Arabidopsis thaliana: one gene and its partners. The protein of the gene in region 2 interacts with the protein of the main gene of each other region in a pairwise test. Each region holds a gene or a part of one and is shown on either strand. Other genes may lie near its edges.

What was found.
Region 1: the proteins of MYB42 (region 2) and ULT1 interact in a two-hybrid assay, tested with the Arabidopsis thaliana proteins (one large-scale study listed by BioGRID).
Region 3: the proteins of MYB42 (region 2) and ASHH3 interact in a two-hybrid assay, tested with the Arabidopsis thaliana proteins (one large-scale study listed by BioGRID).

The regions. Positions count from the first base shown.
Region 1 is NC_003075.7:13,978,626-13,989,161, reverse strand, and holds ULT1 (Developmental regulator, ULTRAPETALA), read right to left. Parts: upstream 4,140-10,536; 5' UTR 3,410-4,139; coding exon 3,123-3,409; intron 2,715-3,122; coding exon 2,370-2,714; intron 2,287-2,369; coding exon 2,112-2,286; 3' UTR 1,720-2,111; downstream 1-1,719. Other genes in the region: AT4G28200 (U3 small nucleolar RNA-associated-like protein), read left to right, coding at 234-674, 752-924, 999-1,182, 1,274-1,354; AT4G28180 (uncharacterized protein), read left to right, coding at 5,481-6,251; AT4G28170 (uncharacterized protein), read right to left, coding at 6,587-6,691, 7,201-7,527; AT4G28160 (hydroxyproline-rich glycoprotein family protein), read right to left, coding at 8,437-8,772; AT4G28150 (hypothetical protein (DUF789)), read left to right, coding at 10,250-10,333, 10,405-10,536. UniProt on the Arabidopsis thaliana protein: Putative transcription factor that acts as a key negative regulator of cell accumulation in shoot and floral meristems. Negatively regulates the size of the WUSCHEL (WUS)-expressing organizing center in inflorescence meristems.
Region 2 is NC_003075.7:7,321,975-7,332,220, reverse strand, and holds MYB42 (myb domain protein 42), read right to left. Parts: upstream 7,466-10,246; 5' UTR 7,310-7,465; coding exon 7,047-7,309; intron 6,183-7,046; coding exon 5,585-6,182; 3' UTR 5,354-5,584; downstream 1-5,353. Other genes in the region: AT4G12370 (F-box/kelch-repeat protein), read right to left, coding at 1-249; AT4G12360 (Bifunctional inhibitor/lipid-transfer protein/seed storage 2S albumin superfamily protein), read left to right, coding at 3,117-3,468, 3,758-3,796, 3,963-4,057; AT4G12340 (copper ion binding protein), read left to right, coding at 10,217-10,246.
Region 3 is NC_003071.7:18,252,722-18,263,961, reverse strand, and holds ASHH3 (histone-lysine N-methyltransferase ASHH3), read right to left. Parts: upstream 5,394-11,240; 5' UTR 5,100-5,393; coding exon 5,082-5,099; intron 5,002-5,081; coding exon 4,872-5,001; intron 4,782-4,871; coding exon 4,664-4,781; intron 4,540-4,663; coding exon 4,440-4,539; intron 4,363-4,439; coding exon 4,284-4,362; intron 4,191-4,283; coding exon 4,019-4,190; intron 3,923-4,018; coding exon 3,842-3,922; intron 3,760-3,841; coding exon 3,612-3,759; intron 3,479-3,611; coding exon 3,439-3,478; intron 3,349-3,438; coding exon 3,258-3,348; intron 3,170-3,257; coding exon 3,121-3,169; intron 3,025-3,120; coding exon 2,959-3,024; 3' UTR 2,947-2,958; intron 2,858-2,946; 3' UTR 2,420-2,857; downstream 1-2,419. Other genes in the region: MTHFR2 (methylenetetrahydrofolate reductase 2), read right to left, coding at 1-19, 117-217, 297-470, 778-951, 1,031-1,113, 1,199-1,661; AT2G44140 (Peptidase family C54 protein), read left to right, coding at 6,797-7,253, 7,334-7,419, 7,495-7,542, 7,634-8,013, 8,108-8,246, 8,394-8,449, 8,539-8,609, 8,690-8,856; AT2G44130 (Galactose oxidase/kelch repeat superfamily protein), read right to left, coding at 9,002-10,231. UniProt on the Arabidopsis thaliana protein: Histone methyltransferase.

The DNA of each region.
Region 1 (10,536 bases), 6.7 Mb from region 2:
CTTAACATAGATCAAATCTTTAGTCTTGATTTTACGCTCACTCTTTTTGGTTTGAACCTGAAGTCAAATTGCCTAGTTTAATAATGTCGGAGAGGACAGGTGGAACATTGGTTATGGGGGGGCTTTTCTTTAGGACTATACTAACTTGCTTTACCACAATCTGTTTCGGCTTAGTAGTAGAAACTAGAAAGTACAATATCTGATAGGTCTTAAATCTTGTCCCCTGAATGCAGGTTTTTGAAGAAGGCTTGCAAACTGTTACGTCAAGTTCTATGTTTGAGATTTATATAAATTTTCTGATGGAGGCTATTGTACAGTCAAACGGCGACGAGAATGAAATCTCCTCTTTGTCTAATCCGATCATTTCACATATCATAAACGTGTACCAAAAGGCTGATGAAACTGGCTGTTTGACTGAAGAGCTTGCTGATGAATATGTTTCTCTGTACTTGAAACTGGAAAAGACTCATGAAGCTCAGAAGCTAGCAGAAAAGCTCTGCTCTGAAAAATTTGCTGGATCAGCTAAGTTGTGGCTTTCAAGAGTTTCCATTGAAATAAGATCACTTTCAGAGAACTCATCTCCTAGTAAAGCAGATTTTCAGACAGTCTTTGAGCTCCTTTCAAATGCTTTGAGGAAAGTACCGATCTCAGAATCTGAGAGCTTGTGGCTAATGGTATGTGACTAATATATTTTCTAGACAATACACTAGTTTGTTAAGACTACACTAATAAAATGCTTATTGTATTGCAGGCTTTTAATTTCTTTGCTCATCAGCGAACTTATTTGGACAAACTTGTAGAGATGTCCATCCTATCAGCAACCAAAAGCCATGGGAGCGACCATGTGTTTTCTCTTGCTTCCACAGTGGTGAAATTTGTTCTTGAAACAAAAGGGGCCCACAGTGCGAGGAAGATATACAAGAGGTGAGTCACTACTCCTCCAGTCCCTTGAGTCACACATGGACTTTATTCTCACCACTGTTACCGTAAAACTGCAGGTTCTTGGCTCTTCCTGGTCCCAGTCTTGTTCTATACAAAGGTTGCATTGAAATAGAGACCAACCTCATATCAGTAGGTGATAAAGATGGTCTCAGTAATGCCCGGAAGCTGTATGATTCTGCTGTTGCAAGTTACGGTCAAGACGTGGAGCTGTGGAAGAATTACTACTCATTGGAGACAAAGGTAAAGTGGATTCTTAATACCCTGACCAAAACCAATACTATGACTTAGTGTCAAGTATGCTAACTGACAATCTTTCTGATGTTTATTGCAGCTGGGAACATCAGAGACAGCCAATGGAGTGTATTGGCGTGCGAGAAAGACTCTGAATGAATCCGCGGATTTCATAGTTTGATCTCTGATTTATAGGTAGTCTAGTATGTATGATGAAGGAAACACTATGTTTGCCTCGTATTTGTGGATGCAGGTTTCAGTTATGTGATCCTTAAGATATGAATTTTGGTTGTAACAGAACAGGAGTCGATGTACTACTTTATGAGTCTAGTTATACTCTAAAACACTTTTTTGATACAAAAACATGTTGAAGTTCATACATGCCTCTACGTCTTTGGTTTCACGTTTCACATGTTTCACATGTTTCTGATGAATTTATTCTCGTATCCTCTTTACCTGGTGACGACTTGGTCTTTATGATTCTAATGTTTGTTGTTGATAATAAAAGTATACATCACTTAAGGGATCCCATATGGTTACTGTGTTCAAAACAAGACGTCAGGGCTTTTTGGGTATTAAGAAAATGTCTCTTTCCATGTCCCATCTCCTAAATGGCTAAATCACAGACCGAGTAGCTGTGCCATTGACAACTTCGTCTCACAAAGCTGTCAACAGCTAATAAAATAAAGAGTAACAACAAACTATTAATAACACTTTTCCCTGCCACTAGCCAAAAATCTAGACATGCACTAAACTCAGGCATGCTCGTCTGCATGTTCTTCTTGGAAATCAACTTTTTCTACTTTTTTTTCAATTGCTCCATTCACAACCCATAGATAAGATAATTAACTGTTTGGAGTTTTAGAATAAGTTATTAAATGCAACGAACAAAGTCTGAGACAGACATTTTTTTTTCTTTTCTTAATGGACTGCCTTCTTCAAGCTTTGACATTGCTGGTGAAGTCGACACAAGTCTGGCAAGTACACTCAGAGAAACGGCATAACTCGCAGCCAAAACAGACGCAGGAAGTGCAGCCTTTGCAACTAGGTGAACGTGTGCACCCTCTGTACACCTTCCTGCTCCCTCTCTCTTCTTCCTCCTCACATGTTATCCTACGACCACCACACCATTCATTGATATAATACATCATTTGCATCAAACTTAAGTACATACAAGGACAACAAAAGACACCTACTTGTCGTATGGGAAATCTGAGCATTTCCAGTTTGGATCACCCATTGCATTGTGGTGCAAGCGGCATTCGTCTCTGCTCCTCAGCCTGAACCTCCTCTCTTTACCACAATCGTTACACCCAACAAACTCATCTCTATGGCAAACTTTGGCACCTTGTGATCTGTTTGATCTACTGCACTTCTTTGATGATTCATTGTAGTACTTGAGCAATACTGTCTTTGACAATGGAACCTTTTCGCCCCCAATGATAACCCACACATTGTTTTTCCACTTCCTTGCCGTTTCTCTTCCAGAATGCTTCTCGAATGCAGCTGGTGTCAACTTGTCTAGCATCATACAATCAAAACTGTTCAAGTCAGTCACTTTTACTTTCAAAGAGAGCTCTAAATGAGCATCTATACCAAATAAGCTAGAGATGGAATTGTTAGCTACAAGATACCACAAGAACTAGGTTGCATCAAACTTTGACATACACGTACAGCTAAGCGAGACATATCATTTGTCAATAAAGCTACCACTTGGCCAGTAACAAAGAGACGCATTACCATTTACAGATAAACAGACAGCCTAAAACATTACTGTGGCAAATCAAGTCATTTCATTTTCTACAAGAACGGATCTAGCTAGCATACACTAAGACTCATTGATAAATATGTAATCATGCTAAAGACCCTAGCTTTACCAGCCCAATGTGATAGTAGCTAGACAGAGACAAACGTTTAATCTCACACACATTCACATGTAACATGCACACAAATCAAAACCCATTTTCCCAAAAGCATCAGAAAGACACGAGAAAGAGACAGTAGAGACAAAAAAAGAGAGACCTTCATCGCAACCAGGTGTGCATTCGCAGGTGATTTCAAGGTCACCGGTGGGGAAAACCCTAAGTCTAGCAACAGCATCGCCGTATCGGTGACTGGTACAACCACACATGACCTCAACGTAATCGCCACCAACATTGACCCCACTCATCTCTTGTAGCTCCTCTTGCTTAAACAACATGGACCCACATTGCATCTCTCCCTCATTGTTCGCCATCACTCTCTCTCTGAGATTTTCTCCTTATAGCGTATGAGGAGAATGAGAAGAGAGAGAGAAGGAAGAGGAAGAGGAAGAGGGTAGAATTAGGAGATGAGAGAAGAAGGAAAGGCCTCGTTTTGGGGTATAAAAGGAAAGCCCTAAAGGAGCACGCATCTCAAAAGCCGTAAGAGAGATCTGATATCAAAGCAAAAGCTTATTAAGGGCTTTTCGGGAGAAGAGAAGAGAGAGAAATAAATTAGAAAGAGAGCTCTTTTAGTTTAGCCTCTCTTTGGCCTTCTTGTGGTCTTGTGGTTATAGTAAGTAACAAAGAAACTCTCTTATACAAACAAAACAAAAAGGATGCGAATTAGCTGGCCAACAAAACAAAACTCGTGGGGGCATGGGACCTCTCCATTATATTAATGTTTATATACAACTATGTTATAGTATGTATCACCTACATAACATTGTATTGTATATAGGGAAGAGAGAGAGAATTTCTATGGTTGATAAGAGGAGCAGGAACAGAGGCGGTGGGTGAGAGGCTTTTGATAAGACATAAGAGAGAAGAAGTTGAGGAATAGGGTTGTGTCAATTGTTTCAGGTTCCTCTTTGGTTTTATAATGTCATAACTCCTTTTTCTATTTCTTGTACTTACTTCTTTTCAAGAAGTTCTTGATTTTGTAATTTTCAAAGGTCCTTTTTTTTTCCTTTGAGGTTCTGCAAATTCTTGGCTCTTCCCTTTCACCAGGATTCATTGGTTACCGAGTCATTTCACCACCACACCTATTGGCTATTTTTTTATATAAAATAAAAGTTGAAGAAATATATAAAGGTTGGTTTGTTTAATTGTTAAAAGAAAAGGTTTAATCAACTAGTTGTCTATAAAACAACTAGTAACCAAGTACATGACGACGACGTCATTGACATCTATGCCTGTTAGGTATTCTGCAATGCGCTCAAACCCCAAAGTCATATCTCTATATTTGTAGCTATATGTGTTCGAGGAACTCATTTTTTTAATACGGATGAGGATACTAGTGTTGTATGTAGACCATATGATTTATATATGGTATATTTGTTGTTGTTGTTATCTTAAGTACATACACAATGGATGGGTTGCAAAACAAAAACAAAAAGTACATAATGGATAAATGAGAATTAAAGAAAATGTCGCCAGTTTTTTTTTTTGAAGAAAGTGAAATAATTATGTCAACATCTTTACAGAGACATGAATATGAATAAGTTGTCAACACAATTTTTGTATAACAACATCTTTACTTTGAACTTTAAAAACTCTCTTTCCTCCTAGTTGTTCCCAAGAAACTGAAAAAAAGAGTAGCGGATGGGAGTGAACTTATGGATTCAAAACATTTATTATGGGCTTGGGGTTTAGAAGTTTACGAGCCTTGGCCCCTTTCTGATTTCTACTCAAAGTTTTGTCATGTTTTTAAACTTCTCATATTTTGTTTTTGTTTTTAAGATGGTGGTTATAAATATTCGAATATCAAGTTTGCAGCAACGATGTTAGGTTCTTTCCACTTCAAGTTTTATTTAACACAAAACCAACTAAAGATGAAAAAGTAGCTTGCTCAACGCGTTCTTATTCAACAATGAGGTAAATGCAACATAGTGGATGGATGATGAGCTAAAAAATGATGGTCAGTTCTTATCTTCAACTACATTTTTGACGACCAAAAGGAAGATGTTGGTAGTATAAGTATTAAGCATTTTACTTACTGTCGTTACATGTCCGGTGTCCCTGTCCAAGGCAATCGGCAGTTGTGTGTTGAAATTATCCCAACGATGATGGGTCGCTATCTAACGAGATATTTGTCCATCCGCATAATTTTCTTTTGAATATTTTAAAGAAAATCAAACACTAGCGTTTTGTCTTTGAAGATATGAATGAATGAGACAAATATCAGATTCTTTATCAAAGTGGATAAAACAAAAGAGCATAATCGAGCCCATAGTGAATATGGGCCAACATGAGAAAGAGGCCCATTAAAGTTGACAAGTATATGACTCGCGACTCTCGAGAGAGCAGAGTGAGAGAGAGAGAGGAATTAGCAAAAGTAGAAAGAAAATGGGATGCTGCTTCAGCGCCGGAAAAGTCACAGCTCCACCAGTCGCCGCCGCTCAAATTCCTCCACCCCTCGAAGAAGAATCCGTCAAAGAAGTCGTTGTTCAATCAGTCTCTGTCTCCGTCCCCATACCCATCTCCGTCCCTGTCCCAGTCCCCGACCTCGTTCCTTCCGCACCAACAGTCTCAGATTCAGAAGCTCAAGTTCCTCTTCCTCTCTCACCTCCAGCTCCGGAGATCTCTCACAGCAAGTCCGACATTTGCAGCGTCTCTGTCTCTCACAGCTACTCCACTGCCACAACTGCTACCGCTGCGTCCATCCTCGAAGACGATGCTCTCAGCAAACCTCACCGTCCTCCTCCTCCTTCTTCTTCCACCTCTCGCCGTAACAGGCCTGACAGAGTCCTCAGATCTCCGGCAGAACGACATTCTCCTCAGGGGAAGCAGCTCCGTCCTAGGTTAGTCCGAGAGAGACAGTCTCGTCAACCAAACCCTACTCACAACCGGCGAAATGTGGATTCGGGTCCACTCCCACGGAGCGGGTTATCGGATAATCCGAGGCGTCGCTCACAGTCTCCAGCCACTCGTGCCCCGAGTTCTGCAAGAAGAAGCCCCATGAAGAAACGAGTAGGAGCTCCGGAGAAAGACGGAGCAACAGAGGTGAAGAAGAAGGAAGAAGAAACGGAGAAAGTAACTGCTGAGGTAAAGAAGGAAGAAGATGTAACAGCTGTGAGAGACCCTGAAGTGTCCATGGAATGCTTCATCTTTCTCTGATGATCTCTTCTCCTTTCATCATTATTAACTCTGATGTGATTGATTGTTTTTTTTCTTTCCCTTTTTTTGATTTGTAAATTGCGGAATGTATAATTATTAACCAAATCTTATGCGGATCTTCGTTTTTGGTTTGTTTATTGTGGACTCGTAAAGTAAAAGGCAAGCCTACGCAACAACGCTCACAAATTCCATGGCTTTTTATTTTATGGAGATTGCTGCTCTTTTGCTATGGGATAAGCAGACACAAACAGAGAAACACTGTTCTGTTTAACAACACTTGACTACATAAACACTTGTCTGATAAAAAGTCCTACTTAATGAGATGAAAGAAGGTTTCAGAAAGAGCTTGATGATGATGAGGGAGGACATGGCTGAGCAATGAACGTTGGGACATCTTCTCCAGGCATCAACACCGATATCTCTCTTTTACACACATCCATCTGCAAATAAACAACACAAGATTATACATGACATCATCATCTCACAAAAGACAACTAGTGTGTCGACAAATAGGTAGTGAATTCCTCTAAACATATCTTATTTTCTACTCTGCTTATATTCAAACCTCGTTGCATGAATCAAGGGGTTTTGTATCCCCATAAAATAATACATTTAATGTAATCCTGTTTTGGACTTTGCACCATTTTTCAAAGATACGACAAAAGAGCTTCCTCTAGCATAAACCCTGGTAAATCATGATCCTGACCGATAGACTTCATTAAACTTAATAACTTATACGCATTGGCAGGTTTATTTCATCTTAATCTCACCACCCAACAAAAACAAGCATAGTTATGAATCACAAATGTTTGATGATCACAACCTCATTTAGATGCAAATTCCAAGTGAATCAGAATGTTCACTTGAGTTAAAAGACTAAGTAAAAAAACAACAGAACAAAAAACGTAGGCAAAAATATAAAAGCAAATAGAGAGGAGATGTTATGAACCTTGGGGGAAGCAAAAGGAGGAAACTTTTGGTCGAGAGGTGGTGATGGAGTTGGTTTAACGAACATGAACCTCTCAAAAAAAGCAATTAAGAGGAAGATAGCAATCAAAACTCCGGTCGCAACCAAACCAAATGGCACCGCATTCACCGAGCTCTCAAAACGTCCTTGACCTTCTTCGTCCGCAGCTAAAGGACCCGCCGTTCCAAACCTTCTATGGTCGTGGCTGCTCATTTGTAACTGGAAAGAGACTTGTGAAACAGAGGAACAAGATGTAGAAAAAGATCGTTTCATTGCCCAAGTTCCCACTTTTAGTTGACTAGTCAACATTACGTACGTAGTTTGGGCTTTTCTCTTTATTGGGCCTATGGTCCCAAAATGGGCCTACCTTGCTCAAGTTATAATAGTATCTCAGAGGGAAAAAACACGAACGACGAATCGATCGGAGAAGAAGAGCAATCTCGGAATCCCGCGAAAACTTGATCGGCGTATTGGTCACGGGGACTACAATGGCGAAGATTGAACCCATTGATGAGGACGAGTCAGAGGACAAGAAGAAGACGAAGATGAAAAACCGAAACCATGGATCCACGAACTTCTTCGTGTTCGTTGATTATCTTTTCCTCTTTATATTTTTCTGCTTTCTTTGTTATATCATCTTCAAGGTATTGGGTGTTTGAACGAACCTTCATCGATTTGGTTTTTGGTCATGGTGATCGTTTTTTCCAATTCGCTATGGATAGACAGAAACTTCAATTCCAATAGACTTTTCCAAGACATCTCTTTGTCCATTATCATCGCATTGTTTTAGAAGTTTCCAAATTTGATTTGTTAATACATCGTAGTTGTCGTTGGTTTTGTTAATGCTAAATGCTAATGCTGAGATTACTTTGAAACTTTGAGATTTTACATATCTTGACAAAATTTCAGACTTTGTAAAGAGAGTTTCTCTTTTGACTCAATCATGGCAATAATGATTCAATTGAAGAGTTTCTACATATTTCTACTCTTTTGTGACTCAATACATTTGCAGCAATGTGAGTCATTACATTTTATTTGGAAATATTATTTTTAGATAGTATGTAAGCAAAAGCTCTGGAATTTATTCAATATCCTCTTAAGTATATATAGAGAGAGATCATGAAGATATATGACTATGATGAAATGACTAGTATACTTGTTATGTGAACCAGAATTGAATACCCTTCTGCATCTAGCAAAAGCTTATTTGTTGACAGGTCATGGTTGTGGCACTGGTGGAACTTCATCTTCTCCTGAACTCGGACTGCGGGCTTTATTACTAGGAGTTCCATTTGAAGTGGCTGGGGCAACAGCAAGGGGATCTTTGTAAGGAAGGAATGGCAGCTTAGGTGTGGGAGGTAGCAAGAACCTTCCAAAACCAGGAATGAGACTAGATGGTTGAGGCACCATGTTTACAGGAAAGTCTGAATGTTTGCTCTCACTGGGAGTGGGGGAAATGGGAATGTAACGCATTCCGGTTACTTCCTCTGTACATCCAAGAATCAGGCTTACCAGAACAATTGTGGCTGTCAGATTTTGCAGAGTATAAGCCATTGTTGTGTTAGTTGAGGATAAAAGGTAAGAGCTTGAATGTGTGGTTTGTGGAGGGAAGATGGAAGAGATAGTGTGTGTAATATATAGAGTAGAGTGAAATAGTTAAAGCTAATTATGGGTACATTAAACGAACATAAACAAAGTGCTTTATTTACTAAAGAGAGAGAGCCTACAAAGTCTGGTAGCATCTATGGTATTGGCGGTGAATTATTGCATGATGATCAGTCATAACATTTGCCACACATGTCTAATTAGTAATTTTGGTTGTGATGGGCTTTTGTGCAACGAGGTCTTTGTCTTCTCTCTCACTTTTCTTTTATTATTTAAAATCCTACTTTCTTCTCATATTCAAACCGTGAATTCTGCAGGTTTATTTGGCTTCACATACAAGTAACAGAAAAACCGATGAAGAAGAAGTCAGCGAGAGACGACGGCTTCCACTTTGAAAGAGTTTGATTTCTTTTACTTTCTCTTTATTCTTTACGAAGTTGGTAAAACATATTTGACCATTTCTTGAGTTTTCTTCTCCGATCAATCTTTTGATAATGTTTTAATAATTACATTTACGTGACTAGCGGCATATTCTACAGTTGTCTGATAGAAATTTGTAAGAAATCCATAAAAGTCAAAGAGTGTTTCCGTACTTTTATTATCCCCATGTCGTCGTACTATTTGAATGTGTCAAACTTCTATAGTAGATATTTAGTTTAACTTGGATTACAACATTGCCGACTGATCCTGTCACACATGTCCTTTTATGTTAATGATTCTTTTAAACCATATGAATTATAATATGTAAACAAAAAAGTCATTGACCCAGTTTCTCTTGAAATCTTGTTATATGTGATCGACCTAGTTTCTCTTCTTTCAAGATGTATCCAAAAGAAGGAGACTTTGTATTGGGAGATGTCATCATCTAAGACTTAGGAATAATAGCTCTGTTTTGTTGTGTTGTTCACGAACTATGCAAAATGAAGATATTAAGAAGCCATAACGTTTTATACTAAACCCAAACAAACAAAACTCAATCTCATCCGACAAAGTTAGAGAAACGAAACTATATTTTATTAAATGAAAATGAAAATAAATGGAGAAGGTGGAGAGTTGTGAGAAAGACAGGTGAATCTACCAATAATCTCCTGCCTTAGAAGAATGGGTCTCATGGAGTTTGGTTGATTATATAAACCTATTTCCTTACTTTCTTTTATCTCAAAGTAGATACAATTTTACTTGTTTTTTTTCTCATTGCTCAAAACAGAGTTCCGTTGGAGTTTTCTTTAAAAAGTTTGTCCCTTTTCGTTCAATCTTTCCCTGTTTCTGACATTGCCGTGAAAGTCTCAAATGCTCGTCTAATAAAGCTAACACTTTTGTCCGAAAACTAAGCTCTTTGAAACGTCAGGGAAAGAGAATCCCGCAATACTCTCTCCTCTCTCTTTTTTTTTTTTTTCTGGGTCGAAGTTTGGTTCTTTGTTGGATAATGATGGTTTTTGACAGTGAATCTAACCTAGACCGATTCTTACGCTGCACTACACCGATTGTGCCTGCCTATTCCCTCCCAAAGGTTTACGCCTTTTTCTTTTTCTTAAAACAATTCTCTGAATTTAGGATCTGAAACTGTGTGTTTTTTGGCAGACACAGATCAAGAACCTTAATCCTCTATGGTATCCGTTGGAGAGCCAGAGCGTCGAGTATTTCAGGTTGGGAGATTTTTGGGATTGTTTCGACGAGTGGAGTGCTTACGGTGCAGGTGTCCCCATTGTATCG
Region 2 (10,246 bases):
ACCTGATGTAGGTGCACAAGAGAAAGCGATCGCATCATATGATAAAGTACATTTTGGTACGTTTATGAGCTCACGAGTAAACGGGTTGAAGAAGAACATTTCTCTTGAAATGGTTTTACGCATTAGTAACCATCCATCTCTTGAGTAACAAACCGTAGATTTGGCAAGCTCAGGTAGATTCAATGTGTACATCTTCTGATGCAATGGATCATAGAGTTCGAACAAATTGCCACGTTTTGGTAAGTACATAAGCCAAGGAGGCTTGTCTACTTTCCGGACATAAAGACCAGCTTCACGCCATGTTTTACAGACAGCAGATGCGCGAATGTTATCTTTTAAGTCAAGTTGAGATATTATTACTTCCAAGAGGCATAATGTCAGGTCAGCAAAACTTGGCTTCGCTTCTTTTTTGCTCTGATTCTTGCTCTCAAGGAAACTGAATCCTTTGACATCTACGTTTGACCTGTAAAAGAGTTTTGAATTAACAAACTAGATATAATCTTTGATTATTACATAACTCAATAAGAACCCTAGAACACTTCAAGATCCTATTAGATCTGATCATTTCCACACACAAAAAAAAAGAAAAATCACTAAATATTATTAAGTCTCTTGAAATTGTTAATTTACAACCAAAAAAACGCTTCAAGAGATAAAACCTAGACAACAGAAAAAACATGAATAATTCGGATATTCGATGCTAAATCTATTAAAATTTACGGAAACTCACGAGCTAAACCTCCCTTTTTGGCCGGGCATAGTGATAGACGACGACGAAGCGAGAAGCGATGAAATTGAAGAATCCTCGAACGAGCCGCCATAAAGGAAAGTTTGCGACGAAAACAAATTTGCCTGAAGAAGATTGGGTAAGTCCCCACTCGAAACCTATTTGTATTACTTCAAAAACCCTAATTGTTTGCTGACGTGGTGGATATTTATATTGACAAAGAAAAAGAGTAGAATCTGATATTTACATAACCACTGATTTATGTAATCATGTAACAATGAAAATAATTTACTAAGAAAATAAAAGACTACAGACATATTGATAAAAGGTCCCAGCGTTTTTGTTTTATTAATTTGATTAGAATCTCTCCCAACTGGCAAATTTTATTAATGTCTTAGACTGTATGTATGCTTTGCCAAAAAAAAAAAAAAAAAAAACTGTGAGTCCCATTGGTGACCACTTTTTAGAAAATGAATGGGTAGGAATAACATGTTCCTCTTCTTTTTCACCATTCAGCAGGAATTTTTTTCCCAAATTGTAACATGTGGACCCTACACTATTCCTAATCATTCCTTATTTTTTGAGGAATCGTACAAGAAAACTGTTCCTTCCCAAATTTGATGAAGAACAAACAGGAAAACAAATTAAATATTTATTAATTAAAAATTAATTTATGGAAAGTTAGAAGAAAAAAACATAGGTGATAACGTGACTATTTAATTTAGAAAATAATTTCTTTATTTTTAATTTTTGTTACTATTTATTCTATTTTTTGTTATCATTTACAGTAACATTTGTTCTATTTTTCCTCTACACTGATTCCTTTTCATTCCTATTTTATCATTTTTTCTTTTCTTTTTTGTTCTTTTTTAGTCATGTTCCTCTTCATTCTTTGTATTCCTTCGTAGGTTACCAATCGGACCCTCTATGTATGATTTTTTGTACACTTTTTAATTAAAATATCTATATGATAATATGAAGAGTCATAAAATGCTTCAAAAACATTTTCTTTAAAAACTGACTAAATTTGATTAATACAGGATTTAATATGCTTTTTACAAAGTACTGATTAAATAAGAATAGGTTTCAGTAACTTTGAATTAATGATTATTTAAGTAAATTCTAAGATTTGACTTTTGAGAGAGACCACCCTTCCAATCAATTGAATAACAGGAATTTAGAAAAATATCAAACCCTTCCAAAATTCCCAATCCAATCCGACCACCCCAATCCCCGTAATCCCTCCCTAAACGGCTAAACCAAAGAATTTAACCTATTAAATGTGTATTGTAATATTATACTTTTAAACGGCTAAACCAAGTTTTATCATCTAATTTCATCTGTTGTTCTTTCAATTTTACTCCTAGAGAAAACAATCAGCAAGCCAATGCATTAGCAAAAACTGCTCTTTTGGCCTCTTGTATGGAAACCTAATTCTAATAGAAGAGTTGTTGTTCAAAATAAAATAAAATAGTATACTATTAAAATAACCTTTTTAATGTTATCTTAACATTTCTTTTTATTTTCTCACCAAAAAAAAAACATCTCTCTTTACTTTTCTTATTTTTTCTTAGCATATCATTTGTCTTTTTTTTTTTTTTTTTTGAATACCAGGAGATTCTGGGTCGAAGCCCGTAATCCCGTAAACTCGAAACCATAGCATGCGTTTTTGTCATATAATAAAATTTAATGGTTTGTCACTAAATAAAAAAAAACTAAGAAGCTTAGTCAGCAATAACACAAATGTAAAAACTCTTACAAACTTTTCTGGCGGTTTCCACCATTTTGCGGCTCCACATATTCTAGCATTGGCAGATTATTATAGATAGATATTACCATTTCTTTGTCAATTTGTTCTTCATCGCACCAACTATGTTTTAAAAATAACTTTTCACTACTATTCAGCATTTTCAATGCCGGCGAAGTAAACTATCATAGATTCATAGTGACCGTATGAACCACTTTGAACATAGGTTTTATATTAAGAAAAAAAATAATAGTTGATTACATTAGCTAATTCTAATTTCGAATTCTGACGTGCATCATGGTTCTTTCTATATTTTTATTATTATTTTCCAGGGCAATTCATATTGTCAATCATTTTCTTTGCCGGGTCCTTTCCTAATAAAATGTCCGTGAATTAGTAATTAGTTCACTGGATGTACTTATATTATTATGCCAGATATAAATATCTGTTTCAAATTTGGAACAGAATATGTCTTTGTGTTACAAAAGTCCACGAATAAACTATGCCAATTAGAAGTATACATATACCACAAGCTGACATAACCCTATCACTAAGTCAATAACTTTCACGGTTGATTGTGTATATACATACTAATTAAGGAAGCATCAAAAACAAAAGAAAACGATTCTCCCACGATTAATAATGGCTCAAACCACCACCTTGATCTTACTCCTAGCCACATTGCTAGTGGCAGCTACGACTGTTTCAGGACAGGGACCTCATATTCCGCTGGCTCCTAGTCCTTCAGTCAACGAAGCTATGAACTGTGCGGCTGGTTTGGCTGTTTGTCTTCCGGCAATTACTCAGCGAGGACCTCCGTCGCAGGAATGCTGCACAGCCGTAGAGACGGCGTTGACAACTCAGCTATCTTGTCTTTGCGGTTTCATCAAAAGTCCAATGTTGTTGATCCCTTTCAATGTCACCGACTTCAATGCTCTTTTCTCCAAAACTTGTGGACTCACCACTGATCCCAACTTGTGTTCCGAAACTGCCGGTAACATTTTGGTTATAACTTTTGTAGAATACATGCATTAAAACATTAGATAGCCAAATATTGTTGTTGTTGTCGCCTTAAATGCCATTTATCTCTTTTAAAACAAGTCTCATATATATGTTTATATCATAGATAAAAAGAATACATCATTTATTTGCAGCTTTGCCACCACATTATTGTTGCTGCTAGTTTTATTTAGCAAAGAAACATACACATTGTAGATATATTTTGTAACCAGGTCAGTTCATATTTGATAATGTGATTTTTGTTGTCCTTTTGTATTTTGTAGCCCAGGCTCCTTTGCCGAAGACGGCAGCACCTGTTCCAGGTAAGGAACAATTCTAATATGTTTTGTTAAGTTTGATAAAATTTATCGTAAAGTATGAGGAAAATGTTAAGCATTTTTAAAAAATTAAAATCGAAGGTTGAGATTGTAAAAAGATTTCTCAATTTGACACAAGTTTTACTAAAAATACTTGATTCGTCATTTCTAGGAGCACCCAAATCTGACAAGGATGCCGCAAGCAAACTCGCGGGAACAGGCTTGGTCGGAATCGTCGTGATCACGATTGCTGCGATGTTTTATTAAAATTGAATTATATATTCTTAACCATTGGAGTGCTTTATATAGACTATAGCCTATATTCCTATCCGGCTATATGTGAGAATTGTGTTTGGATCAATTATACATGGCGTTTTATTTTGAATTTTGTTTTTTACATCTAGAGTTTTTAAAAATATTGTTGTTGTCGCCTTTAATGTCATTTTGTTTATTACAACTCAAATTTAATATATGTGAAATGTGATCGTGCACTTGAAAATCTTGTTTGTACATGATATATGACATTATAGAGCGGTTAATTTAGGTGTCTTAAATATATCTGTAGAAAAGAAACTTATTTCTACAATTATTTCCTACGATAATTAGAGATTCATATAAAAAAAATACATTTCTTGACCAATTTTTTTATTTTTTCCAAATTATTTCTTCGAAGTAGCTAAAAGAAAATAGATTTTAGTTTTGTTAGTAGTATTTATTACTTTTTTGTTTTAGTTTTTAGTGTTAATAGATTATTACTGATTAGGATATTCTTACAAACTATTTAAGATGAGATATTTGTCTAGTTCATATGGTTGTAACTCAAAGTTATATATTTCACATGTGTGATTTCCACAAAGAGAAATTGCTTCAAATTGCAATTGGATATAAACAAAATTATTGTTGTGAGTTGTGACAATTGATTCCGCCAGGATGTGATGTAGAGATGTCCATTTTTGAACTCTTTCACATAAATAATAAATTTCAATATCGATTTTTTATTATTTAATGATAATAATATACACACCAAGTCTTTTTTGTATCCACGTAAAATGATAGCTTCAAAAAAAAAAAACTGGCAATATATTTATTACTTTCTCAATTCATATTTGTGTGTTATTATCTGGCCAATGATAAAACAGATATAAACAAGAAGCTTAGTTGTCCAGATGGTTTTGTAAATTTAGAATTTTGGTAAACTTTTATCATGAGATCATTCAAATTCACAGATAAATTTTATCAAAGTCGCTGAAATTAATTATCATCAAATAGTTATATATTTTGGGGAACACCAAATTCATCTTTAATTTATTGGGGAACACCAAATTCAACAAAATTATTTTTTACAACGATTTTACAAATTAAAAAAAAGCTCTGTATTTTCCGGTTGATTTAATAAATCATGGACTTACTCTAAAAATCAATCCTGATCAACATAGAAAAATTTGACTACCAATATTTTTAATCAATTTAATGAAGGATATCCTAGCATAAATTATTAAATTTATACAAAACAGAATTTAAAATCAAGGCGAAAAAACTGTTGGGTTGAACTAATTATAATTTGAAATAAATGCAGGAAACAGACATAAAAGATAGGGAAATAAGTCAATAACTCTTACTATAACTCCTAGTGATCCTTTTTCTGTTCCCCTAATATTAGACTTTGAAAAAACCATGGTGCTTCTTTACTGCTTTACATGATTTTTCTTACATTACTTTTATGATGCGTACGTATAAATTATATACACATATTATGTAGTATATCGGTATATATGTTATGTATTCTTGCAAATGCTAGTCCTTGTGACCCGTCTTCATGGAGCTTTGACCAAAACCATGGTAACACTCGAACCCAAAATCTTCAACACCAAATTCTTGGCAATAATCCAAGAACATCCAACTTTCGCCGTTCTGTTTTTCAAATGATCTTTCCGGGAAATCTTCCTCGGCAGCAGTGTTGTTCTTGTCTGAGGCTGCAACTGCAGCTGTTCCTCCAATACCAACGTTATGATTGCTCCATGATGCATCATCGACTAGAGGAGGTTCATCGTTGGTCCATAGAATATTAAATAAATCTCCATAATTATGAATTATATCACCAAGTAATTCATAATCATCATTTGAACTATTTTGATGAGTGATAATGCTATCATCTATTGTATTTGTCGTTGTCCCATCGATCTCTACGATTTTATTATCATTTACATTGTCGGCTTTCGATGAAGTTTCAGATTTATCGACTAAGTTTGTATCGGTAAATACTTTGTTTAAAGGTTGATGGGTCGAAGGATCGATTTCCATCTTAAGGAGCTTCTTCTTGATATGAGTATTCCAATGATTTTTTATTTCGTTGTCTGTTCTTCCTGGTAATCTTGCAGCGATCTTGGACCATCTATATATACATAAAAAGAATTTTAAGAAATATGTTTAGTTACATTGAATATGTTTACCTTTGAAAAATAATGATTTGAGCTAGGTGTTGGTGGAGATGTCAAAGTCTTGTGTCTTGGAATCTAACACAAGAAAGTTGACAATATATATACGCTATGATATTCTATTTGGAAACGAGGAACGTTACTTTGTCTCGAAGTTGAAATAAGATGTACAACTTTTTTATACAAATATTTAGAAGACTTTAATTCAAAGAAAGGAAACTGAATTAAGATATATCGTTTTCTTATAAAACTATTCAGTCTCAAATGATCCATACATTATCTTATATTAAAATATTATGGATTAATTTTCAATTGTACATCACAAATACATTTTCTACAGCATTTATCATTAGTCAACATATATGTTAATAGTTTTTTTACTGTGTTTCACAAAAAGTAACATCTTAGAATTGACTAATTTTTATTATTATTTGTATATAAGTATAGGTGAACGTTATTTAACCTCGGGTTATATGACTATAATGATGACAATCATATGATTATATGTAGAAGATTAACCATTTTTGGTAAATACATAATTAGCTAACAACATGCATATGATACAATATATTGGTGAAATTTGGCATATAGTACTTAACATTCCTACCGAAAATTGTTTTTTGGAATATAGCCTTGTTGTTTATGATAATATCCTCGTGCTGTCGATATTTGGATTTATATCCGTAATTCATGTTGTTGTTAAAAAAAAGATTACTAACAAATTCGGCTTAGTTAATGCATGTTTAATAATGTGTAGTAAAAATATATAACAAATGATCAATTACATATAAACGAAATACAAGGTTAAAACAAGCTCAAACCTGTTGCCGAGAAGAGCATGAAGGTCGATGACAAGCTGTTCCTCGGCGTCGGAGAGAAGACCTCTCTTCAAGTCAGGTCGGAGATAATTGGTCCACCGTAGACGGCAGCTCTTCCCACAGCGACGGAGACCGGCCAGCTTCGGCAAAGCCCTCCAGCAACAGTGGCCGTTGGTCAAGATAAAGTTTATCAGTTTCTTGTCTTCCTCCGCCGTCCACGGCCCCTTCTTCACCATGAGCTTGTCACAACATGGCTGCCTTCCCATTAATTTATATTTGACTGTTTATATATGTTTTGTGTGTTAATTTGAGAGAGAGAGATGAGACCTTAAATATTTTGAAAGTAGAAAGTATATACCAATTAGAAGATTTCTGTCAAAAGCCTATAAGCACCTAAGCTCACCCACCTATATATAACCCAAGTATTTCTTACATCATTCACCACATATTTTTTATTTTAGTTAGAAAATTAGTATCTCATTTGACCCACTTAGGTGAGTAGTGAAACCAAATAGTTAATGACGCTATATGTTTTGTTAGGAATTTATTGTTAAAATCATCTTCTTTAATTCAATCATTATTGTTCGTGGGAAGTAATCATTATAATTGCATAGATTGCAGTTAATTGAATATTTTATAATATGATTAGATCAAATATTTTCATGATTATATTATATATCAGATGCTAAAATATAAATATTTGGTTCGATCTTAGTAATAATAAAAATTCTTCCTTCCAACAAAATGTGTATAGAGTACAGAAGAACGAAATACGATCTAAATATTTAAGTATGGTGAGTATTAGCCAGATTATTGCAAACATTCTTTAGGCTTTAGGTTCATAAATTATATAGGCTTTTGGTATAAAGTAACTATACAGAAATATACGACGTCTAAGGTATACGCATCACATGTTATTTGATTTACTTGAATTAACAACCTGAATACATATATAAAAGTAATTATCCAGAATACGTATAGTTTTAAAAAATAAATACATGGTAATTAATATGGTATGTGTGATGGGGAAATTTCAACAATTTCCAAGAAATTAAATTTGTACCTTTCTTATGATGATCAATATTCTATGTATACAGTATACCTAACAATAATATATATGCATGGTTCATTTTCACGTATAAAATATTTATACATCACATGCGTGCATAAACTAACTTGTGATGGTGAGATGATTAAAACATTTTGGAGGATAAACTAGAAATCGTATATATATATACTTCACAGAATTGTTAATGTCGATAGAAATGTTTCTTTCTCGATATATATACGATTTCTTATGATCAAATCATTTTGGTGAAGAAAAAAAGTTAATGTTTTTGTCTAAAATAAATCATTGTTATGGATTTTAATTATAGTTGTTTAATTAATATCATTTTACGAAAACTGAGGAGTGTTGGAAAACCTTGATTAATTGGTTGGTGAAAACTGAAAATGACTTTTGAACTAATGTGAAATGATAGGGTACATACCTGCGAATGTACACGCGTACGACCAGTAGAACTTTAACACCAAAATGAAAGTTTAAATTCAATTAGAATATGTTTTGATGAAACAAATATAGGAAGGTATGCATATATATTTAGCATGTGATTCAGACTTAGTGTAAACCATTGATTGAATGGTAAATTTTGTAAATCCTAATGCTTTGGAAAGGAATATTTTATTATTAAAACAGTTGATCCTAAAATTAGCTGAACACACAATAACATACAAAAGACACTTGCTAGTTGCTACTGATACAAAAACTTATTATAGTAAAGATTTTTCGATAAAAACAATATACAATTAGTGTTCGAAATCTAACATCGTCAAAGGTTATGAAGTTGTCTTAGTTTAGGCATTGCCGTGGACAATACCGCAAAAAGTAAGTAAACATTTTTGTTCGTAGTCGTACGTTTATACACGTGTGGCTAATTAACAAATAAGCTATCTTATAGAGTTATAGTAATATATCTTTGCATGTTGTCTATACGGAAAAATTATAAAGACGAACACCTATTTGACACGTACGTATACAGAACTAAATCTAATTTATGTTGTAAAACTTTCCCACTTCATGGGTGACTGACTTGTAAGTTTAGCTGTAGAGGGCTTTTCCCAAATTAATTCATTTTTTTATAATATTGTAAAAACATGCGTGATTAGTCTGTGTTAGAAGAAGTACAACGTTTTGTTTAGAGAAAACTCTGGCGAAGGGTGAAACTCCCATATCTAAATTCGATTCTTTCTTAGAATAAAATTATATTTATTTGGAAAATTTATCGGTTGGGTCGTGCTTTAATTAGTTTATATGGTAGTAAGAAATGGAGACGACCTGATTATTCTATAACATTAGTCGAAAGACATTTCAAACTCGAATCTGGTAGTGTGGTGGTCTAACTCTACCTGGATCGGGAATAGTCCACTTTGTAGCATATTGGTGCGTTTTTACTAAAACTGACCGGATCAGCCGATAGAGTATAAAAAAAAAATGAAATGAATAATTCTGTATACAGTAATGCATGAAAATTTAGTATTTGTTTTGTCAAAAAAAAATAAAAACATTTAGAGGAAATATCAGGTAGCCCAATAAACTTTTGTTTATATGTACATAAATGTAATAGCCTTCTAGGCCCAATAAGATAACTTGGGCTAAAGATAGTATTTTTTTAATCTTGCAAACTAAGCCCAGATCTACTGTGAAGAGCGTCGCAGTTTCGCAGCTGTAACAAGATTTCTTCTGGCGAAGAAGAGAGAATCGCCGTTCACCGATTCGTTTCTTTGTTCATCTCCTCCCAGGTAATCTGTGAATTTTTGCATCGATTTATTGAAGCTTGGTGTAGATTCTAGGTTTTTGTTTTAAGTTTCCAGAATTCATCTATATCGATGTCGAAGAATTACTCCTTCGATTTTGTATCGATCGATGTTGATTCTATCATCTTCTTAGTTACGAACTTGATTAGATATCTGTTTGCTTTCGGTTTCGATGTTTTGATTCGTGAAATTGAAGATCTTTGAAATACTATAAGCAGAGAATTTCAAAAATCTATTGCGTGAATCGTTGATGTGAAGAAGCTTTGTTGTGAGATGTTCACATTGAGACTCGCATTAGATTTTGAGGAGATACTCTTGTTTACTAAGTTGTGTGGATGTATTTCATCTTCCAGGTAATTATGGGAGATTTCTCGATTCAGATCAGTTCT
Region 3 (11,240 bases), on a different chromosome or scaffold from region 2:
GCTCTTTGGACGGTTTGCCCTTCAAAAGATTAGAAGAAAGAACAAGTCTTATTTTCCCTGCAGAGTAAAATATGTGGCTAAGTATAATCAGAACGAGAGAAACTAAGCTCTGTTACCAGAAAATGGGGCGCACATCTTCCTTAGTACGGAAAACATTTGCAGGGCGTCTCCAGGGTAAAGAACGAGAAATTTTGGACTCATCAATCATACCAAGATTCTGAAACAACAACAAAATAGTAAAGCTACTCCACTATCAGTATCATGCTTTACATCAAGTAGAAAAAGTGAGGACCAACCATCAATATTGCAAGAGCAGATTTCTCCATGTTCAATGTGTAGAGATGAAGAGACTTGACTCCATGAGCCAACATCTTTTTACACATCTCTGTTCCAAGGTGAATACCATAGGCTTTCACAGCTTCTTCGTTATCCTTGATAGGCTCCAAGGCAGCCATCACCTCAACTGGTATCTACATTAATATAATCATATGTAAATTCATCTATCTTTTTTTCACAAAAAGCACAGCTGGTATCTACATTAATATAAAGAATTCTCTTTGAATAGCTATCCAACAAACACTTTCTCTGAAAACAATAATATAATCAAGTATCTCAATTTCATCTAGCTGATCACGAAACCTTAAATACACTTTTTTAAAAACATATCCTAAGCTAGCAAACAAACACCTTTATGGAAAGGCAACAAGCAATATCATTCATCTCCTAAAAGGTGATTCATTTGCAGGAACTGGTGTTTACTAAACGATCAAAACTTACCTTAGTCTTGCAGAAACCAGTCATACGCAAAAAGCCTCTGTAGTTATTAATAGGCATAATTCCAGGAACAATGGGACAACTAATCCCAATTTGCCGACAATCATTCACAAACTTGAGGAATATATCAGTATCATAGAAAAGCTGAGTAACAATCAGATCAGCTCCAGCATCAATCTGTTCCAAGACAAACCCAAATTCAAAAATTGATGCAGACATTTAAGAACAAAGCAAAACAAAAACAAACAAAACAAACCTTTTTCTTCAGATACTCAAGATCACTCTGATAAGCTTCATTAGACGCAAGACCATTCTCACCAATAACATCAGGATGCGCCTCTGAAATATCAAAACACATAAAAATCCAATCTTTAGCTACAAATCACACGAAACAAAGAAATCAAATTCGAATTCGAGACATTACCAGGATAACCAGCGACAGTGATACCAAAGTAATCACCATACTTGCTACGAATGTGATTAACAAGATCCAAAGCACAATCAAAACCACCTTCAACCTGAACAAACTTATCTTGACCATGAGGAGGATCACCTCTAAGAGCAAGCACATTCTGAATCCCATTAGATCTAATAGTCTCAAGAGCATGATCAATCTTCTCAACAGGCATGTTAGTACACGTAAGATGCATCATACTCTCAACACAAACAACGTTTTGCATCCTCGAAGCTATATCAAGCGTTAGATCTGCGGTAGATCCACCAGCTCCCCAAGTGATATCGCAAAACGTTGGACCATAAGCAACCATTCGATCCATTCTCTCAAAGAGATTGTCGACTCCATCTTCTGTCTTTGGTGGGAAGAATTCGAAGGAAAACGCTGTTTTGCCTTCGTCGGCTAATGACTGGATCTTATCTATCACCTTCATCTTCTTTTCGAAATGGAGAAGAAGAATGAGAGACAAAGGCGAGTTCTTTCAGGTTCTTCTACTCACTGCTTTATAGTAAACAGAGAGATTCCAAAATGTTTGGTGAATTTTAGACTTTACCTTACCCGTCCACTTCCTTATATTATTTTCATTTTTAAGACAAAATCATACTTTAAATAAAGTATAATTACATAATTTACATTTAATCATTGTTTTGTGCGAAAATCCATGTAGTTAGACAACATGAGTTACATTTTTATGCTTGACAAAAAAAAACATTTTTATTAAAGTGTTTATTATTCAAGAGATTTACCAAACCATTCTAAAGTGAAAAAAATGAAGAATCCGAGTTATTTGATATTAAGATAGTCGAGTTGATATTAGTAAACAAGATGAGTTACATAATTATTTTAAAGGAATGTGATTAGTAAAAGATTTACCAACCACAATTAGATTTGTCGTTATCAATCCCCAACCCCTGCAGTCTATGCTTTTTGAGTTGGTGAACCAGAACCACACACCCACATCACCCACCTACTACCAAAAAACCAATGATCCATCACTTTTGTTTAACAAAAATAATCTACTTTTACCAAAAAAAAAAAAAAAAAAAAAAAATCTAATTAAAATTTTCCGTTTTTCACTTACAGTGTATCTTTAAACTTTACAAAACTTTTTCCAATTTAAAACTGTTATGTTGTTTTAGTAATTTTTCACTTGTTTAACTCATTTTGCATTTGAAGGAATTTGAAACGTTAATCGCTAAAACAAAACTGGTCAGATTTTGCAAACACCGGCTTTTGTCGGCGACACCGACACAGTCACACTCACACAGATGCACGAATAAGAACAGCACATGCAAACAAGAACAAACCGGTCTTTGGATACAAATTTTTAAAAGCTAAACCGGATATGAGATTACCGGTTCTTACAAAGTCAATTACACACCACGAAGGTTCTTGCAAGACATCATCATTTGAGATCCCCATGAAAAAAGAAGGAAGGAGAAGAAAGTACAGATGTGGTTACACAAGTAGATATATGATATCTCTTATAATGGTTGTACAAACACAGGTCACAAGTTAGACGCAACAAACAATGTCACTGCACCAATCCCAGTCAGTCAGACCCGGGTTTTTTGGGATACCTTTAGTTTACCAAGACAGGTTATTTTGGTTTCTCAACTTCAAAGCAATCTGCAGAAACATAGCAGCCAGGGTAATTTAATACTCTATGCTTCTGGGAGTTTTAATGTTTCATTAAGAGAGTGAAGAGTATAAATCACCTGAAAACAATATTAGACAATCTCCCAGTCTTCTCTCGACATGTCGACAAACTCGGTAACACCATCCTCGAACATCACCTGGACCAAGTTTAAAGATGTTAACAGAGAGGTCTTAATTGAGAATGATTTTGCCAAGTTCGATGGTGAGGAACAAGTATTGGCTAATTGTAATACCGAGTGCTTTCTTGAATACTCATCAAAATGTCTAACGAGGCCAAAACACCTGAAAATCTCAAAAGATAAAACATTGGATGAGAAAAGCATAGAATGAGTCATAAAACTAATCCACGAGTTCAAAACTCAATAAATACCTATCACTCGTGGGGCGAGATAACCTGATCACCACACCAATGCAATTACGCGAACATGTATCCCTTTGACTAAGATTGTTCCATGATTTTCCTGGAGAAACATGGGAATCCAAATTACTTTCTTACAACCAAAACACAATAAGCTACTCTCGCAAATTGAGCAGAAAAAATCCAAACTTACCTGCATCTATGTGTCTATTTACAAGTCCATTTTGATGCACCTAACCAAAAGTGGGGAAAGAAAAAGAGTCACTTAGACCTCATCACACAAATTTTTCAGTGACTGTGAAACTATGCCAGGGCAAAGACGAGATATATATTTGATTCTTCTTTTCAGATAAAATTTGAAAATACCTTGGGCAGTGTCTGGGCCAATTCATGTGCCACTAGATTAAAAGCTTCATCCGAGGCTATCTTAGGTTTGCTAGGTTTTACACCAAGCTTCCTTCTGCAACCTACAGCCCCACAATGGCAGTCTTGATCTGCACCAAACTGAACAAACCTGCTCTATTTCTTAGTGTCACAACTCAACATAAAAACAGATATGTTACAAAGTAAACTGGAGAAGGAGGATATAAACTTACTGATAATCATAGGTCAAATGCTCTCCCTTTTTGATACCACGGGTGGCGAAAATGCCGATTCTGGTCTCGCCGTCAATTATCCTAATTGCAAGCAAAAGTAAACCAAATGATGACTTTTCTCTCTCAAGTATTCTAAACTAGGAAACAAGCACTAAGGGTTGACAGTTAACAACAAACCATTTCTGCATCTGCGTATTAGGGTTGCAGCTATGATTAATATATCTTGATTTGTTTCCCTTATGAGTAGCATCAATAACCATATCTCTGGTTATCTCACATAAATAAAAGTTTGTCTCGCCACGGTGTTTCATCTTCCAAAGCCTCTCTTCACAAGTCTTATCATCAATAACTACATTGAGCAAAGGTACGAAAAAAGAAAACAAATTAGACCATGGTCGCAGTATATTCAGTAGGGAGACAAAATATCAAATAGTCACATCACCTTCTCCAACATATTCAATGATAAACTCTCCAGCTTCGATTTCTTCTTCTGCCACAATCCCTGATCCGCATTTTTCTGTCTACAAGACACAACTAAAATAACAAACCGACAACAACAAAAATCCACTCTATCCAACCAAAACCAATCACACATTACCTGAATTAACTTCATCTTCTTGACATGTCGTTGTTGGAACGGCTTATTGTTACACTCACTCCCACACTTGCAACTTGAGGAACAGCTTGAGAATAGCATCCTAACACAAAAGATAAGGTTTTTTCCAGTTCAATGTACTTAAACAAGCAGATAATTATGGTCTTATATCAATGAAATGCTGAAATAGATAGATCAAGAAAAGTGAAATAAAAACAGAGGCATACCCACAATGGCAATTACTCCCACAGACAGTTGAAGAAGAACCAGGAGACGAGGAGGAGCAAGAACAGAAGATTCCATCATCTTCAACCCTCCTTTTGACTTTCTTCGTCAAGTATATATCTTTAACAAGTCAAGGCCAAAACAAATCTTGATCAAAGCTAAATCTGCAAAATGAAACAAAACCAAAACTGCAATTGCAAAAAAGGATACTGCGCCTGATGAAGATATAAGGAGTAGGTTTTCCTTTATTCAACCACTCCGGTAACTCGAATTCTTCAGATTCTCCAATCTGATTCAATAGCTTGTCGAACACTTGCCCTAAGTGATTCCGGTCCGAAATCTGAGAAAAATATCTGGAAATTTCAGATATCAAGAATAAAGTTAAAATTTCCATGAAGCGGAGATTGTTTTTGAACAGACCTTTTTGCTGGCTGGCATGTCGAAAGAATCTAAAAGAAGCTCTAAAAACCAGAGAATAAGCAAGATTTGAGCGTCGACCTATTGAGGTAACACCAAGTTCGATGAAACTAAGAAAAGAAGATGGCTAAAACTAGTACGTCTCTCTGTTGTTTCGGAATTCGAAGTTTCTCAACCCTAATTATTACTTCTTGTTGTTGTTGAAGAAGAAGAACTGAAGAAGTAACAATGGCGGATCTGAGACAGTAAGAAAGAAGAAAGAGCGGCAGTTGCTTTTTTTTTAATCTTTTTTTCTCTTTGATAATTACGCTTCAGAAATAAATGGCTTCAGGGTAAAACCGTAACTTGACTCGATATGATATGTTGGCCCAGTGTCAATATGGGCTTTTTTATCCGATCCAATTTTTTTAACTAGCCCAAATTAGCTGAGCTTAATTAACCCAAACTAATATTGTTGCTTTATGTCGTTTATATGTCATAGCCTTTTAGCCGTAATCACTAATCACATTAATAGCAAGCAGCAGCAACATTTTAATTTTGTGTACTGTTAACATGTTGATGGATGTGTTAACAAAAAAATTAGGAACCTGGAGAAAAGTAAAGTAAAATACTATCAATGTCATTGTTAATATAATATTCGAACGTTTTATCCGAAGTAAACAGGTAAATCGGAGAGTATTTATTTTTTTCCACGTAAAAAAATGGTAAACAAGTGTAATCATAATTCATAACCCTGATTATGTGAAGTTTAATTAATAATTAAACGATATAGATTGTCATTAGTTGAAAGCGAAAGATTTGAAGAAGGTAAAAAGAAGAATCGCCATTGAGATTGTCCCAAAACCTCCAAAGGAAACACACGTTTGTCTTTGCTCTGAGGTATCTTCGACGGGACGTTGAAGCGAGCAAGATACGACACGAAATCGATCTCCCCCTTGCGTTTTCCATCTCCGTCGTCTGCTGAAACCATTTGATCGATCTCTCAGGTGATCCTTCTGTTTCTTTTCCTATTGTTTTCTCTCTGCTAGAAAAATTCGGAGTTGTGAGAATTCCTGGGCTAAATTGGATGATGAAATTCTGCTACACGAAGAGGAGTTGTCAAAATTTAAGTTGATTAATTGATCATTTTCGATTACTGTAGATCCGTGAGTTGAAATTTCGTCAAGCTCAAGTCTGTTTCTTGATTTTGTCATTTGCTAGAAACATTCTTCAATTAAGAGAATATGCATGTGGAATCCAAATGCTTTGATCTCTAAAATTTTGGTTTATATTTCTCTGTTGACTCCCTAAACCTTCCTAATATCATGCGGAAAATTCTATGTTGTGATGTTTCAAGAGGTCAAGAAGCTATGGATTGGGTTTATTTTCTCATCAAAATCTGCTTAGTGTTTGTAATTGTAGAATCGTTATTGTGTTACATGCTTACTTGTTTTTGGGGTGTTAAGCTGAACTTCAGTGGTCACAAAACTATAGTTATGGTCTCAGAGAGTTAATTGATTAAACTTTTCTGAACCTTGAAGTCACACACACCCAATCTTGTGTAGTGTTTGAAGTTAATTGTGGAAGTTTTTAGTCAATCTTGGCTTTCTGATACTACTTAAAAGTATGTTGGATGTTAATTCAGTGTCTTTTGTGCTTATTATTTCAGATAAGGTTCTCAGGATTTAGGTTGCTTCTATGAGAAGGACACGTTGCAGTTGGTGCTTCATGTCTAGGTAATGAAGGCTTTATGTGATAGATTTGTTCCTCAACAATGTTCTTCATCAAGCAAGAGTGATACGCATGATAAATCCCCTTTAGTTTCAGATTCTGGACCTAGTGATAATAAGTCCAAGTTTACCTTATGGTCAAACGTGTTTACGTCTTCTTCCTCAGTTTCTCAACCGTATAGGGAGTCTTCAACTTCTGGGCATAAGCAAGTTTGCACCACTCGTAATGGTTGGACAGCATTTGTAAAAAGAGTCTCTATGGCTAGTGGAGCAATTAGGAGATTCCAGGAGCGTGTTTTAGGGCCTAATAGGACCGGTCTTCCGAGCACAACTAGTGACGTATGGCTCTTGGGTGTCTGCTATAAAATATCTGCGGATGAGAACTCAGGGGAAACCGATACTGGCACTGTATTGGCTGCATTGCAACTAGATTTTTCATCCAAAATACTGATGACATATCGTAAAGGTTTGTAAACTCAACTACAGATTAAAGCCAAAATAAAGTTTTTTACATAAAATTTACCATTTACGAATTGTATTTTACAGGTTTTGAACCCTTTAGAGACACAACTTATACCAGCGATGTGAACTGGGGTTGCATGATTCGAAGTAGCCAGATGCTTTTTGCTCAGGTGTGAGGAAGAGTATTTCTTTTGGCATGAGATTTTGAAGTTTATAACATATTCTGACAAACCAAATATTATCAGGCGTTGCTTTTCCATAGGCTGGGGAGGGCTTGGACTAAGAAATCTGAGGTAAGCTCAATGTAGCAACACTAGGAACAGAAACCCGGTTTCTTGCATTGAGATAGTGGAAACCTCATGCTTGTTTGATTTAAAAATGCAGCTTCCTGAACAGGAATACTTAGAGACCTTGGAACCTTTTGGTGATTCCGAGCCTTCAGCTTTCTCCATCCACAATCTTATAATAGCTGGAGCGTCCTATGGTCTCGCTGCTGGGTCATGGGTAGGACCGTATGCCATTTGTCGAGCGTGGGAGTCATTAGCGTGCAAGAAGAGAAAACAAACTGATTCTAAAAACCAGACGCTTCCTATGGCTGTTCATATCGTTTCTGGCAGCGAAGATGGAGAGAGAGGTGGGGCTCCAATTCTCTGTATAGAAGATGCTACCAAATCTTGTCTAGAATTCTCAAAAGGACAGTCTGAGTGGACACCGATTATCCTTTTGGTTCCACTGGTTCTTGGGCTTGACAGTGTGAATCCCAGGTTTGCAACTGTGAAATTGATTCCATTATCTCTGTTATGCTCGACTCGTATTTGTACTTGACCTTTCTGACGTATTGCTATAATCTGATGACAGGTACATTCCATCTCTCGTAGCCACATTCACTTTTCCTCAGAGCGTGGGGATTTTGGGTGGCAAACCAGGTGCCTCAACTTACATAGTTGGTGTTCAAGAAGACAAAGGTTTCTACCTTGATCCGCATGAAGTTCAACAGGTTTCATTTCGTGCCTCTGAATTTTTTTAGAGTCCATAAATCTTGGTCTGGCATTGTGGTGGTCCATAGTACCTAAGTCGGATAAGATGCCATTTCACATGATAAGTCGGATACTGATTGAGACTTATCGTTTGATGATTGATTTAGGTGGTCACAGTCAACAAGGAAACACCAGATGTTGACACATCCTCCTATCATTGCAAGTGAGTCTCCTCAAATTATCATGTCACAGACGACTTTTGCCTGGTTCAGTTTTATCTTGTTTCTTAATTTTATCTTGAATCTGCATCAGTGTCCTTCGTTATGTTCCTTTGGAATCACTCGACCCATCTCTAGCTCTAGGATTCTATTGCCGCGACAAAGGTATTGTATTACTACATTCTCTGAAACCAAAAGTTTTTAAATTCTGTAACTTGAAAAAACCTTTCCCTAATCTTCAACAGATGATTTCGACGATTTCTGTCTCCGAGCATTGAAACTAGCTGAGGAATCAAACGGTGCTCCATTGTTCACAGTGACTCAAACCCACACAGCGATAAACCAAAGCAACTACGGGTTTGCGGATGACGACAGCGAGGATGAACGTGAAGATGACTGGCAAATGCTCTGATCATGATCATCGTCAAACATTTTAACAATCTCAAGCTACAATTCTTTTTTTCCTTTTGTTAACCAGTTCTTTGTTTTTTATATGTGTTGGTGTATATTACATCAGATCAGAACACAATGTTGTACTATAAAATCTTTTGGGATTTTCAAACATAGATTGAAGCATGCGAAAATGGAAGAGTAGAGAAATCACAAGGTATATGAACATGATGACTCCATTTTCCCATTTTCTTCTCAGTCGTCATCTTCATCATCACTCCTCCTTCACCTTCACCTTCACTCTCTCTTTTACCGCCAATCATTACCACCGATTCACCTCCTAAGCTTCCGGCGAAAACTGAGCTTCCTGTCATCGGAAGCTGTATAGATTGAAGATCCAGTTTCAAATTTCTCGAATCATCGTTAGTTTCCCATCGACGTTCACTCTGTAAATCAGTGTCTGTGAAACACCATAACGTAGAGGAGCTTCTAAAGTCTCCGGCGGTGCGACCTCTCGGGCTAGTATCTGGAAATCGCCAGACGTTGTCGATTCTCGACCATGAATCTGTCGCTGGATCGTAAATTTCTCCGTCAGATCGGAATCTTCCTTGAGATTCCGTTCCGTAACCGCTCAGCACGCAAAACCTTAGACCCATACCAACGGCGAATCCTTGACATTCGTCTCTTCCTTCCGTCATCGGAGTAACCGACGACCACTCGTCTTTCTCGACGTCGTACACCTCCGCCGAGCGTAAAGCGTTTTTCTGATCGTCGTGACCTCCGGCGACGTATACCTTCGTTGGACTTACGGAGGCGCAGGCGAAGAATGATCGTGATTCCTTCATTGGCGCACCTCGTCTCCACTTCCTTCCGGCGAATTCCAGAACGTAAACGTCTCTCGTCGGCTGTAACGTCTCCGGATCCCAACCGCCGATGAGCAGAATCTTCCCGGCGTCCTGAAGCACGACGCACTCGCAGAAAAGCGGGATCTGCTCCTCCTCTGGAAACGCAACGCGATGCCACGTGGACATCGCAGCGTTGTAAACGCTCAATCCAAAACGCGGCGTGCAGAAAACGCGCGGGTGTGACTCATCCTCTGATTTTTTCTCGTCAACCATTAATGTCTCGTCAACCGATTTAGACGCTGGAATTGGCGGCGTTAGCGGTTGAACGAGGCAGAGGAGAAGCTCTGTTTTGCCGCATCTCCGCCGTTCTTGGATAAAAGAAGAGTCGGAGAGTAAGCTACGCCAAGAACGGCAAACGGATCTCATGGCGGATTGGAATTGGAACGGAACTCTGACCAAACACTCCAAAGCTAGTTCGGAAGGTAAACCGGGAATCAATTCGTGACATTGCTGAAAATCTCCACCTTTCTTTTTCGACACTTCCATAGTCATCGAACTTAAACAAGTTTGAGAAAAACAGAACAGAGAGTGTGTTTGATTGAGCAAAGTGTCTATGTGTAGAAGAAAACACACAAAAACTGACGAAAGTTGCGATTTAAATTTGAGTGAGTGTGAAGCTACAAAGAGGTGGCAGAGCCTTTAAATAGGGAAAGAGGAGGATGAGTTTGCTTGCGGTTGAAATAACGCGACGGTTCGTTTAAATTTTTAAAAACCCCTATAAACTTGATTTAGCAGCGTATGAAAAAAATCAAGATTCGTGTATGTTGCAAAACGCAAACGTATCTAAAAATTTATTTCTTAATCATTCCCTTTCAATCTCACCAAACAGGCAAGAGTCAACACATGGGTTACTTTGATGCGATTTCCTTAATAAGGAATAAAACTTTGAAATGGAATCTATAACAACTGGTTTAGTTCATGAAGACGGTGCTTTTGTTAAAACAATCTTTTCATAAAACAGGAAAAGTAGAAAGCTTCTAGAAGACTTTCATAAGGACAAAATGAACAACTAACAGTGGAGTAAATCATATACTCCATAAGAATTTGATTATTTGAATATCAACCAAAAATTCAAGAAATGTCCATGTTGTTTCATGATGTAAATTGTAAAGGCAAATAGTTGAAGTTAGGTCAGTGGTTACTTGGTTAAGTGAAGTTAGGTAACAATATTGTATATTATAATCACAAATTAAATTGACAGTATACTGCGCCGCACTTTTTGTTTAACGCTTTTACCACTGTATAGCGTCTATAGTTTAAAAACAGTTTGAACTAATAACTTTTTAAACTAGTTTATCAACTAGATATCTAGATTACTATTCCATTTCAGTGTCAATTGAAACCGAATCTATGACATCTTGATAATAAAGTTCACGAAGACCAGTAGTGAGCTTTTTAGTCTTTACCATCACTTTTTATTTGAAATAACAAAAAGCTTCTAGAAGCTATGCAAAGACAAATAATATGGAGTAATAAGGAATGAGTCGTATTCACTGACGCA